Linked DNA regions of Oryctolagus cuniculus. The protein of the gene in region 1 purifies or fractionates together with the protein of each later gene. This does not show direct contact. Links are inferred from orthologs where the notes say so. Each region holds a gene or a part of one and is shown in the gene's direction. Other genes may lie near its edges. The genes, in order: SLAMF6 and SH2D1A.

Region 1 (6,063 bases):
TGGGTGTGGCCTGAGAGCTCTGTTTGGTGTGCCAAAGGTGACACTCCCAGGTTAGGCGTGGTAAATCTCTCTCTCTCTCTTTCTTTTTTTGATTCAAAAGGGAAGTAATTCCGCACAGCTGAACGAAGTTGGAGGTAGTTAGCAGGCAAATGATATACCCACAGGAGTCAGAGATCGGAAGCTCTTTCCCAAGGACCACACAGGGAATCTGTTCTGCCCTCAGAGTGGGCTCAAATTCTCCTTCAGTCTCCCACTGGGTTGCCAAAGTTACGGAATTGTAGCATCTCTGGAGAGTACTCAGGTGAATTCCTTGAGTTCTCTCCCCCACCGTCTCTTTTTTCACAGTCTCAGTTCAGTAGCACCACAAATTTACTAGGTCCTAATCTCCTGTTAATTCGCCCCGCCCAGAGTCAGGTTTTTCTGCTAGGCTCAGGGCCGGTGCAGACCTGAGGTCGCTCTGCTTATGACGTATGTCCAAGATGGCGCCTGCTCTTTGTCTGGCTCGCCCTTGAGAGGTGAGCGGAGAGAGAGAAACCTGTGTCCGTACCAGTCACCTTTTTTTTTTTTCTCTCTCTCTCTCTTCCAGTTAGCCTGGTGAACTTTTCCCCGCCAGGGGTCGTTCGCTCTAGTCTCCTCTCTCCGCTTGCCTGCCGGTGTCTTGGGCTATTGAGGTTCGGCTCACCTCGCGTTCCAGCGCTGGTGTGTTGAGTCTGCCGCTGGTGTCCCGAACTGTGGGCTCCCACGCTCTCCACGCAGGTCCGCTGTGAATCACGCGTTCTGGAAGAGTTTCTTCTGCTGTTTCCTCCCCTACTCTTCCTTGAACCTGCAGTATCTCCACTTTTATTAAACTGTCTCTCCCCGGACTATCAGTGTGCTCCCTTCCTATTCCGCCATCTTGCCTCTGTCCTCTGAATGGGCTATTACAAAGCGCACTGCGCTTCTTTCTTTGGGAATATTTGAATCTTGTCTCAATGCCCATAACGGATCAGAAATACAGATTTTGATAGCAAAGCAACACTAGTCATGAGTTCTTGTGAGGAAAGTCATTGGCTTTTTCCTTTTTAGAGTTAGACTGTTGGGGTGGGTATAAAAGATAGAGGTCTGTAAAATCTTTCTTTCTTAGACATTTATTTCCTAGTTCTGTAGAAATGGTTTTAACAGATGTTCTCTACCATTTAATACACTTCTGAACCAAAAGATATAAGAGCTGTATAAAATCAACCTATTATGTTAAACTATCATGTTTGCCTTTATTGTGTTTGTCGTTAGCCTGAATAGAAAGTTCTTTAAAATGGATTTTTTAAGAAACCGTTTGAATACAAAAAAAAATTTACACTAAAATAAACACCTTTCAATCGCATTTTCCATGAACTTTCTATTTTGTGTTCCACAACTCCTACTCAGTTAGTTAAGCTTTTTAAATTTTATTTAAGTTATAAAGTTTCATGTATTTCATATATACAGACTTAGGAACATAATGATACTTCCTACCCTACCCTCCCTCCTGCCCATGCTCCAACCCTTCTTTATCCTCCTTTTCCCATTTCCACTCTTACTTTTTATAAAGATGTACTTTGAATTTACTTAATGATTGTAAAGTTAACCCTACACTAAGTAAAGAGTTCAACAAATAGAATGAAGGGAAAAAAAACACTGTTCCTCAACTGAAGAGACAAGGGCTGTAAAAAATCATCAAATCTCAAAATGTCCAATTCACTCCAGTATGTTACATTCTAGGTGCTCTATTATATTAGTTACCTCATATCAGGGAAAACATATGGTAACTGTCTTTTTAGGGCTGGCTTATTTCACTAAGTATAATGGTTTCCAGTTGTGTCCAATTTGTTGCAAAAGACAGGATTTCATTTTTTTAACAGCTGAGTAGTACTCCATAGTGCATATAAACCATAATTTCTTTATCCAGTTAACAGTTGATGGACATCTGGGTTGATTCCATATCTTAGCTATTGTGAATTGAGCTGCAATGAACATGGGAGTACAGATAACTCTTTCATATGCGGGTTTCTTTTGGTTTGGATAAATTTCCAGCAGTGAGATGGCTGGATCATATGGTAGTTCTATATTCAGATTTCTGAGGTATCTCCACACTGTTTTCCACAGCAGCTGTACCAGTTTACATTCCCACCAACAGTGGGAATCCTCGCCAGCATTTGTTGTTTGTCAATTTCTGTATGACAACCATTCTAACTGATCCCCCTTTTTCTCTAAACATAGGGCGACTGAGGAACTTGCAAATTACCAGTCACGTTCAGCTGTCTGAGAATAGGACCTGCGAGATTCACCTGACCTGCTCTGTGGAGAATCCAAATGACAATGCCTGGCTTAGGTGGCAGACCCCAGGAAACACATCTCTAAGTGAACCAAACCTCACTATCTCCTGGGACCCCAGGAACGACAGTGAACACAATTACACCTGCATAGCTGAGACCCCTGCCAACAACTTATCTCTCACTGTGTCTGCCAGGGGCCTCTGTGAAGGTAACAGTCTACCTGAGGTCTCTCTGAGAGCCTAGAGGGGCCATAGGGTACACCATGTCCTCACACCTTGCATGATTGCCAACAGTGGCCCAGTGGGAGGCAGCCAAGCAGTGCTGGGAGGGAACAAACATGCTCTGGAGTCTGTGCTTCTCACCACATAAGCCAGCCGCCAGAGATCTCTGCTCCTTCCTTCCCCACCCTCCCCAGTCTCCAGTTTACTCACAGCCCAAGGGCAAGGTCTTGAAAAGTCTTGACTGCCTTTTACCCTGACTCTTCTGGGCTCGCACTTTGCTCACTCCACACTGCCCAGAGGCCAGAGCCTCGGGCATGGATGAAGTCCCCCAGCCTCCAAAGCAGTCGAGAAGGGGCTCATTGGTGCCTCTGCAGGGGCTAATTGCCTCCCCACTTGTGTCTCATGTTTTACTTCTTTTTTTTCTTTTCAGGTATTTTCAATAAGGAAAATGAACGCTGGGATTTCACATGGATAATAATTATGGCTCCTTTGATATCTATAGTCATCATTGTGGGGATAATTTTCTGGTGTAAAAGAAGAGGCAGGTTTTCTTTCCTCTTATTTGTCTCTTCTCCAAGGTTCCAGGGAATAGAATCTCGGGTCTCCAGTTGCCTAGGACCCCTTGTGGAGGACAGGTGAAGAGGGAAAGATGCACACCCTGGCTGAGCTGGTCCGCTGGGATGACCTGACACCTGCTCTAGCCCGGAAAGGACAGGGCCAGCCTGCCCTTCTTTTGTGACCCCTCCCAACACACTCCCTAGAGAAACACCCACGAGGAGGCAGTGGGGAACCTCTCCCACCACAGTCACACATTTCATATCCTGATTTTATTTTTCAGGTTCCCTTCATTTGTCTACTCAGCAAACCCAGAGTCCTGGTGAGTACCCAGATTCTTAACTAGGAAGAGCTGAATGGAAGAGAAATGGGGGTGACCAAAAGGGCTAGACAATGAGAACACAGCAAATCAGAATGTCCCTGCTCAGACTACAAGTTGCAAGGGGAAATGGCTTGTAATCATGGGACTTCTAGAGTCCCTCATAAGCATGAGGTCCCATCCCTCACACAGTTTGTCCTAGCAAGCTCAGGGCAGCTTCCCACCCTGCATATGGAGACACTCCAGTGCCATAGAAAAAACTTATAGGCTGCCCATTGACACCAGCAAGGGCAGGGCAGGGTCAGGATTCAAGAATCAAATGCCTAAAACCAAACTGCCTGAGTGTATCACTGCTGTTCAGCCAAGGCTTGGGCAGCGGATAGACACAATCAAAAGATAAAACGTGGGGCTGGCACAGTGGCATAGTGGGTGAAGCTGCCGCCTACAGTGCCGGCATCCCATATGGGCGCCAGTTCAAGTCCCAGCTGCCCCACTTCCGATTCAGCTCTCTGCTATGGCCTGGGAAAGCAATAGAAGATGGCCCAAGTCCTTGGGCCCTGCACCCATGTGGGAGACCCGGAAGAAGCTCCTGGCTCCTGGCTTCGGATTGGCCATTGCAGCCAAATGGGGAGTAAACCAGTGGGTGGAAGATCTCTCTCTCTTTCTCTCTCTCTGCCTCTCCTTCTCTCTCTGTGTAACTCTGACTTTCAAGTTAATAAATCAAAGAGGGAGAGAGAGAGAGAGAGAGAGAAACATGGTATTGGTGGGAATGCACACTCCTGGCATGGATTGGCTTTGAGTCACCTTTCATGGCTGAGAGATACCTGACATCTCACACCAAAGAAATAGATTTGGAGTCAGGTAGTCAGAAGACATGCATTTGAGTTCCTGTTCTGCTACCTCCTGTGTGACCGTGCAGAAATCATTTGAGTTTTCTGAGCCTGCCATTCCTCATCTCTAAAATAACCAACTCCACCTTAAGGCCCTCTGAGAACTTTGATGATATCACATATGTGGAATAATTGGCTGCATTATGTTTACCAATGTAGTATCTCCATCTCATCTGTAGGCCCAGGAGCTCTCTGGCCACTCAGGGAGATGCCCCAAGACCACCTCCCCCCCCCAACAGATGAAGTCAGAAATAGACCTCATGAACAAGAGTTTTCTCCAGATTATTGAGCAAATGAACTCTCTAAGGAAGGACAATACCTTGAACATTGTCTCTGTGCACAGGAAGTGCTCTGGGGAAGGCAAAGTCCTAGGGAGAGACATCAAGATGCCTTCTGCCACTGACTGTGCCTTCTTGTACTTACAGTAGAGTCCATGTGGAACTTAGAGTACACTTCGGGATCTCCAGGGAGCACTGTGTATGCACAGGTCACTCATCCAAGCCGGGTGAGTCTTTTCAGCTTTATATTCCATAACTGTCACTGTTTTTACAGTCATCCCTCACACACTCATCACCATAATCACCTGACTATTCCAAATGACATTCACCAATGAGGGGAAAAGAAGGCAGCAAAGAGGCTGCAAAGTCTTGTACTAGACCAGTCTAGGATCAGCCGCTCTTGCCCTTGAGGGAATGTTTATTCCTACCCTGCTGCAACTCTGCGCTCCAACTGCTTAATGCATCGTTAAGTCTTGTCTCCTCAGCGCAGTGGCAAGCTGCCTGAAACTACAAATGAAGTCTTTGTCTCTCTTCCCCTGTAGGATACTCAGCCAGTGCTTGCTGAGCCGATCAGAGTTCCATTGAGAGTTTCCAAGGGAGGCAGTTCTGTAGTAGAGGGCTTCTTCCTCTGGATGTAGGGATATTAGGTAAGGTCAGAAGAACTCTGCCAAGAGGGAAAGAAGGGCAAGAATGTACAACCTTCCACAATAGGGGACACAAAAGCCATGAGCAGCCCTCAATTCTCCCCTCTCCTCTAGCAACACAACAAGATGGGCTTGGTCAGGCATCAGGAACTCCTCTGTTATGCATCAACCACCACCTCCCCTAAATAAAGCACCTGCAGGTGGCATATTTCTAAATAACACTGCACATCTTGGGGGGCCAGTTCTTGTGATTTCTGAAAAATAAACCAAGGAAACATCTCCAAATGATGGAAGCAATAATCCAGATAGAAATCTGGGGATTTCCCAAGCAAATCTTCACTCGCACAGTCCTGCACAGGTATTTGCAAAGCGGGCTCCTTGCAAAGAGAGGACAAGAAGGGATACTCTCACCTGTTTACTGATCTTTCCACATTTCTCTTGACAACAAGCCAAATCACTCTCTAACAATCCAAGAAACTGAACTCCAACACATTTGTTAGCTGCTTCTTTAGTTTAAAAAGTATACTTTGGAGAGTTTCTGAGGTCTTAACAATTCTCTCAATGTTCCTTAATTAATATAAACTGTTAAAATTTATGAGATTTGGGCCAGAGCCATGGCACAGTAGGTTAATCCTCTGCCTGCTGTGCCGGCATCCCATATGGGCACTGGTTCTAGTCCCAGCTGCTCCACTTCTGATCCAGCTCCCTGCTGTAGCCTGGGAAAACAGTGGAAGATGGCCCAAGTACTTGGGCCCCTGCACCCACATGAGAGACCAGGAAGAAGCACCTGGCTCCTGCCTTTGGATCAGCTCAGCTCCAGTCAATGTGGCCATTTGGGGAGTGAGCCAACCTTTCACTCTGTCTC
Region 2 (6,680 bases), on another chromosome or scaffold:
CAAAACAGAGAAAGAAAAGAAGTACGTATGGTACACTTGTCCTGTCAAATCCAGGTTGCTCTGTTCCCAAGTGTGTGGATGATTTGTCAAAATTGTTTAGAGACAAAAAAGAAAAGTTACATTTTGTTTTTAATCTGTGTCACACCAAATGTTCTCACAGTTTACTTCACAGGTGGGCTGTTGTCCATATGGGCTTATATAAGGGGTTCCCCTCCCCTGTCTTCTTTCATATTTGAAATTCCACCATTGTGATTAGTTTCTCTGGGATAATCTTTTGCACATTCAAAATACAGAGTCCAGGGGCTGGCGCTGTGTTGTAGCAGGTAAAGCCACCACCTGTAGTGCCGGCATCCCATATGGGCACCAGTTCAAGTCCTGGCTGCTCCAATTCCCATCCAGTTCTCTGCTATGGCCTGGGAAAGCAGTAGAAAATAGCCCATGTACTTGGGCCCCTGTACCCGTGTGGGAGACCCAGAAGAAGCTCCTGGCTTCCGATTGGCACAGCTCCAGCTGTTGTGGCCAGTGGGGGAGTGAAACAGCAGATGGAAGATTCTCTCTCTGTCTCTGTCTCCCCTTCTCTGTGTAACTCTGACTGCCAAATAATTTTTTTTAAAAAAGCTATACTACTATAGTTTTAATGATCTGTGATTGCTTTAAAATTTACTGTATATGGGTGAAATGACCATTTTTCCATTCAAATATTTATAGCTGTTGTTTATATTCCCACTAAACTAGGGTCTTTTTTACTTTTTACTTGCTAAACTTAGTATTAAGCGTTTTCACTGTAACATAAATTTAAAATGTTACCTCAAAAAGGAAGAGAATATTATGTTTGTGTCTACAAAGCACGTTCAATCTGTAAAAAACTAATTAAAAATCGTTAAAGTCTCTAAAATGTGAAAAGAAATGAAGGAGACTTATATTTCAGCTACTATGGCTGGGCATTCTTCCACCAAGGAGAGCTGTTGCTGGCTACCACTGAAATCTTAAAGGATTGTCCTTTTTTTTTTTTTTTTTTTTTTTTTTTTTGACAGGCAGAATGGACAGTGAGAGAGAGACAGAGAGAAAGGTCTTCCTTTTGCCGTTGGTTCACCCTCCAAAGGCTGCCACGGCCGGCGCACTGCAGTCGGCACATTGAGCTGATCTAAAGCCAGGAGTCAGGTGCTTCTCCTGGTCTCCCATGGGGTGCAGGGCCCAATGACTTGGGCCATCCTCCACTGCACTCCCGGGCCATAGCAGAGAGTTGGACTGGAAGAGGGGCAACTGGGACAGAATCCGGCGCCCCAACCGGGACTAGAACCCCATGTGCCAGCCCTGCAGGCGGAGGATTTAGCCTATTGAGCCGTGGTGCTGGCCAAAAGGATTGTCCTTAACCCTCATAGTTGGAGGGAAAATAACCATCTTTGGCTCTGAGCATCCAATTCATTGGTTAAGATATGAGGGTTTAAATGTCCTCCCAAGAGAGTTCCCAGCCCAGACGCATTCTCAGAAAAGTAGGTGGTGAAGTGGTGAAAGGAATACAACAGACAACATAGCTTCAGCTCTTTGTATTCCAATTCTAAAAGTATTTTACATAATCTAACGTGACATGTGTAAGACTGTTGAGTTCCAGGCATTAAACGATGTCTAGCAAAAATGGAGGAAGTTTTTGGGAAATATTACTTATCACTATTTGAAATAGAAGCAATGCTTTATTTCAGAGAAGAAAATGTAGGCTGAAGGCTTTTAAAAAATTAATGACAGCTTAACATCAATTGAAGAAGAAGCCATTCTCTAGAAACAACAGAATAAAAGTTACCACACAATTATCAACATGCACAAAATGTTGTAAAACAAGTTTTATGGCTGAAATCCTGAAAAGCGGGCCCTACACACCAAAGGGCATAGACAAATCCATGTAATGATGAAGACCCAGTTAAATGATTTGGCTTCATTCCAGGGCCCAGCAAATAGACAAATCTGGAATACCTTTGGACATACACTGGGATTTTTGTACCTCCTCCAGCACATTGGGATCCTAGACAAGGTGCTAGAAAAAAAATCAGTATTTACTTAGGACCAGGATCGTTCAAGATGACTATCTGAGTTAGGAGCTGAGAGAGAGGAACTTGCCCAAAGTCTATTGTTCACCTGCTTCATCTGATTCTGCAGGAGTCTCATGGCCATGATCAGTAGTAATTGCATATAGAAGGTGCCGTTTCGGTGCTTTGGTTTCAGAGCTTTTAGTCCTTCCGTCTTCAGTAGGTTTCAGCCCCGCATGACACGCTGCCTCTATCAACTCCTTTGAAGATCGGGTAAGCTAAGTCATTCCCGGTGGCCCCAGGGGGGAAAATGCAAGAATCGAAGCATTACCAAGCACTCTTGTCAGTGGGTGAGAGTCTGCATTGGCAGTACAGCCCAAATCGTGCAAAGTCCGTTTTCCAAGGTTGCACTCTTTGTAGGAACCCTATGTTGGTTGGGGGGTGGGGACCACACCCGGTGACAAGTTTGATAGAACCAAGCGGCTAAGTTGCTGAGCTGGTTTTAATTGAAGTGTGAGAGGGAGGTTTTTAGGCAGGTAGACAACATCCTGTTGTTCCGGTGCTTCTCTTTCTTTTTGCACATTTAGCTGAACTGGGAGTCAGGTGGCTGACTTGTGCCTGGCTGCAGCAGCTGCATCTCCCAAGTACCATCTGCAAACCTCGGCCTGCCCCAGAGTCTCCTAGGCAATGGATGCGGTGGCTGTGTATCATGGCAAAATCAGCAGGGAAACCGGGGAGAAGCTCCTGCTCGCCACCGGGCTGGACGGCAGCTATTTGCTGAGGGACAGTGAGAGTGTCCCGGGCGTGTATTGCCTTTGTGTGCTGTGAGTACGTTATGGCTGTGGCGGCGCAGAGTGTGGGCAGTGGGCACGGGGGGCCTGGGGGCAGGGATGCGGGTGGCAGTTGTTCATTAAGATCTCCTCTCCATGGCCGCAAGATTTCCTGTTCAGCTCCCACTTTGGCCGAGTGTCTTCCTGGGGATTTCATTCCCTGGCTGCCGCCTCTCCAGGAGGACCTCGCCAGGGACTTTCTGGGCAGCTGCAGAATGTAGCCTTGAGGATATGGGGAAGCATGGCCTAGAATTTACCTTTGCTTTGAGACTCGGGCTCCTGGCTTCCGTCTTGACTTCCAACTGAGGCCAGCAAGATGGAGTCCTGGAATGATGGGCCAATCAGATTTGGGGCCCCCAGCTCTGGAGAGAAGGAAAGGCCTCTCTTGAGATGGTTTGGAAGTGTCATCCCAAAGGAAGAATACCAAATTCAGGGAGAGGAGGCAGACTAAAGGGCAGAGTCCATTACTTTCAGAATGCGGCCACCAGTTGGGTCAGGACGCAGAGATGGGGTGTGTGTGAGTAAAACTGCTGCTCTGGATCAGCTTATTTAGCTTCTTTTAGAGGAGGTGTGTGGGGGACAGGAGGTTTTAAAAATAAGACCCTCCTCTATGAAAGCTAGGACCGATAGTGGTAAAGGGTGTGGCGGGAAAACACCCTCGTCATGATTCAGCTTTGCCTTTGTCTAGGCGTGTCTGGGTCTAAATGCCCCATTTTGAATCAGATGCACCTGCATCTTTGTTCCAGGGCTCCAGAGGCAGACAGCTGTGAGAGCGAAACCCTGTGCTGGTCAGAAGCCAGGTGTGTGGCCTTGGCAAATTAATGTCTTGGTCTTTCAGTTTCTGCATCCATTCAATGGGTATTACCCACCTCACAGAACTGTGAAGGTTCCGTGCTGTAATGCATGTAAAAAATTAACACTGAACCTAACACATAGTAAGTGTTCAGTAGAAATAAGATATTGGTATTATTACAATCAATCTTCTCTTTCAGTTGATTACTTTTAACACTCCTGGGAAGGACCTAGCTGAAGCATTGTCATCACCAGGATAAAATCACCCATGGAAACACCAGCACTCTACGTTAGGTTCTAGACAGAAACAAAATAAGGGCTAACGCTTGGTAGTCAGTCAGTTCAGTATTGATGATACATTGATTGTATATTGGTTTTTAAAAATGGCCAAGGTTTGTTAGTAGTAGTTCTGAGATTGTACTAAATACATTCATCATAAGGACTGCAAAGGAGATGCACACAAGTTACTGAATCTCTTGAGCTTGCAGTTTCATGTTTTCCTGATATTACTGTGCTTCCTGAGTGAAACCAGGAGAGGGTGGTGAAAGCCAACTAGGATTCTTAGGCGCTTTTCTTTTTAATTTAAAAAAAATTTAAAAATTTAACTGATATATGAAAATTGTACATATTCATGGGGCTCCATTGATGTTTTGATACGTGCATACGTCATGTAATGTTCAAATCTAGATAAACATGTCAATCTCCTGCAAGCATTTGTTGTTTCTTTATAGATAGACTCTTTCATTATCAAAAGAAGGTAGGGGAGTGAGTGGGAGGGTTGAGGGGGCTGCTTTAGGGAAGCTAGCCAAGGAGGTAATGTGCTTCTTAGCTTAGCGGTAAAGAGGAAGGCACAAAAGAAGCCTGGGCAGGGGTTGGGAGAGCGGGGGACAGTGTGTGGCTACGTACATTAAGGCTTCATTTTTGCTGGCCTCCTGGCCATTTCTTAAGCTCACTGAGTATGCTTCCTATTTAGGGTTTTTGCCCTTAATGCTCCTTCTGCAAAAATTTGATTTACATGTTTAGGCAACTGACTCTTCCTTCAGCGAGGCCTTCTCTGGCCACCCTATCTAGACTGAATGCCCTCTACCTCTCCCACTTACGTGCTCTTTATTTTTCTTCAAGGAGCTTTAAAGGCCTGACATTTGCATGTTTACTTAACTGTATTGCTGGGATCTTCTAGAAAAATGTAATCTCGGCTGGCACCGCGGCTCACTAGGTTAATCCTCCACCTGCGGCACTGGCACCCCTGGTTCTAGTCCCGGTCGGGGCACCAGATTCTGTCCTGGTTGCTCCTCTTCCAGTCCAGCTCTCTGCTGTGGCCCGGGAGGGCAGTGGAGGATGGCCCAAGTCCTTGGGTCCTTGCACCCGCATGGGAGACCAGGAGGAAGCATCTGGCTCCTGGCTTCAGGGTGGTGCAGCGTGCCGGCCATAGCGGCCACTTGGTGGGTGAACCAACGGAAAAAGGAAGACCTTTCTCTCTGTCTGTCTCTCTCTCACTGTCACTCTGCCTGTCAAAAAATAAATAAATAAAATAAATAAATAAATAGAAAAAATGTAATCTCCGTGAGGGCAAGGGTCTTCATCTCCAGCCCCAGGAATATAGCCTGGTGCATAGATAGGCACTCAAAAAATATTTCTGAATTAACCAACCAGTGAACTATAGAAGGAAATTCTGTTTTTTACTGCGAAGAGCCTTGATCCAGGGGCTTGCGTTTTGGTGAGATGGGTAAAGCCAATGCCTGCAATGCCAGTATCCTGAAGGGGCGCCAGTTTGTGTCCCGGCTGCTCCACTTCCAATCTAGCTCCCTGGTAAAAGCAGCAGAAGATGGCACAGGCGTTTGGGCCTCTGCACCCATGTGGGAGATTCAGATGAAGCTCCTGGCTTCTGGCCCAGCCCTGGCTATTCATCTACCCGGGGAGTGAATCAGCTGATGGAAGATCAGTCAATCCCTCCCACCCTCCCTCCCTCTTCTCCCTCCCTCTTCTCCCTTCCTCTCCCTTTCTCCCTGTGACTCTGACTTTCAAATAGATAAATAAATCTGTGCATGCATTGTGGGGGGGAAGAGCCTTAATCTGTCATCAGGAGGCTAGGAGGGGGGCTCCAGAGGAGTCACTCATATTCTCTAGGCCTTAGTTTCCATGTTTATAAAACAGGAATAGTAATGCATGTCTTCTGCAAGTTTGCTGAAAGTGAAATATGCAGAGAGAAGGACAAGTGTAGCCTTTTGCCCACATAGGCCAGAACCATACAAGGGATGAATTTAAACAGGAGGGAAATTCAATTCTCAAATGTGTAAATGTAGTTTGTATGACTCTTGGGTCTCCATGAAAGCCTCCTCGTGAAGCCACAGAAAATAGTAGGCAAATTGGGAGTTCCCTACTGTGTCTTTTGATTGGTACACTCTGGCTTCAAAGTTTTATGAGATTGTTAGGGTGATCGGCACACTGTGCTGCAGAGGGAAGACACAAGGACATTTTCCTTTGATCAGTGTTTCTCAACCTTTTTGAGCCACGTAGCCTTCTTGATAAACATAAACATTTCATTCCCTTTTTTTTTAATTAAATTGTATTTTGAAATAAGCCCTGTACTCATTTTAAACCAAAACACTTATGCTTGAAATATGCAGCTTAGGTGGTAATGTAAGTGGTATCATGTACTTATGAACCACAAGGTACAGCTAACAAACATGCATTGATTGTAGGGTTTACTCAGAATAGTTTCTCATTCTCTCTCTTTTTAAAAAGATTTATTTATTTATTTGAAAGAGTTACACAGAAAGAGAAGGAGAGGTAGAGAGGTAGAGGTAGAGGTAGAGAGAGAGAGAGAGAGAGAGAGAATCTTCCATCTGCTGGTTCACTCCCCAATCAGCCGCAATGGCCAGAGCTGTGCCGATCCAAAGCCAGGAGCCAGGAGCTTCCTCTGGGTCTCCCACATGGGTGCAGGGGCCCAAAGACATGGGCCATCTTCTTCTGCTTTCCCAGGCCACAGCAGAGAGCTGGATCGGAAGCGGAGCAGCTGGGACTTGAACCGATGCCC

What was found.
Region 2: the proteins of SLAMF6 (region 1) and SH2D1A purify together in Homo sapiens (co-immunoprecipitation; 5 studies listed by BioGRID and IntAct, with this or other methods). This does not show direct contact. The link is inferred for Oryctolagus cuniculus from reciprocal best matches to the Homo sapiens genes SLAMF6 and SH2D1A.

What each region holds. Positions count from the first base shown.
Region 1 is NC_091438.1:38,417,980-38,424,042, forward strand, and holds part of SLAMF6 (SLAM family member 6), read left to right. Parts: intron 1-2,235; coding exon 2,236-2,499; intron 2,500-2,942; coding exon 2,943-3,053; intron 3,054-3,350; coding exon 3,351-3,389; intron 3,390-4,701; coding exon 4,702-4,781; intron 4,782-6,063. UniProt on the Homo sapiens protein: Self-ligand receptor of the signaling lymphocytic activation molecule (SLAM) family.
Region 2 is NC_091453.1:102,133,517-102,140,196, forward strand, and holds the start of SH2D1A (SH2 domain-containing protein 1A), read left to right. Parts: upstream 1-2,201; 5' UTR 2,202-2,294; intron 2,295-2,506; exon of another isoform or gene 2,507-2,608; 5' UTR 2,609-2,708; coding exon 2,709-2,845; intron 2,846-6,680.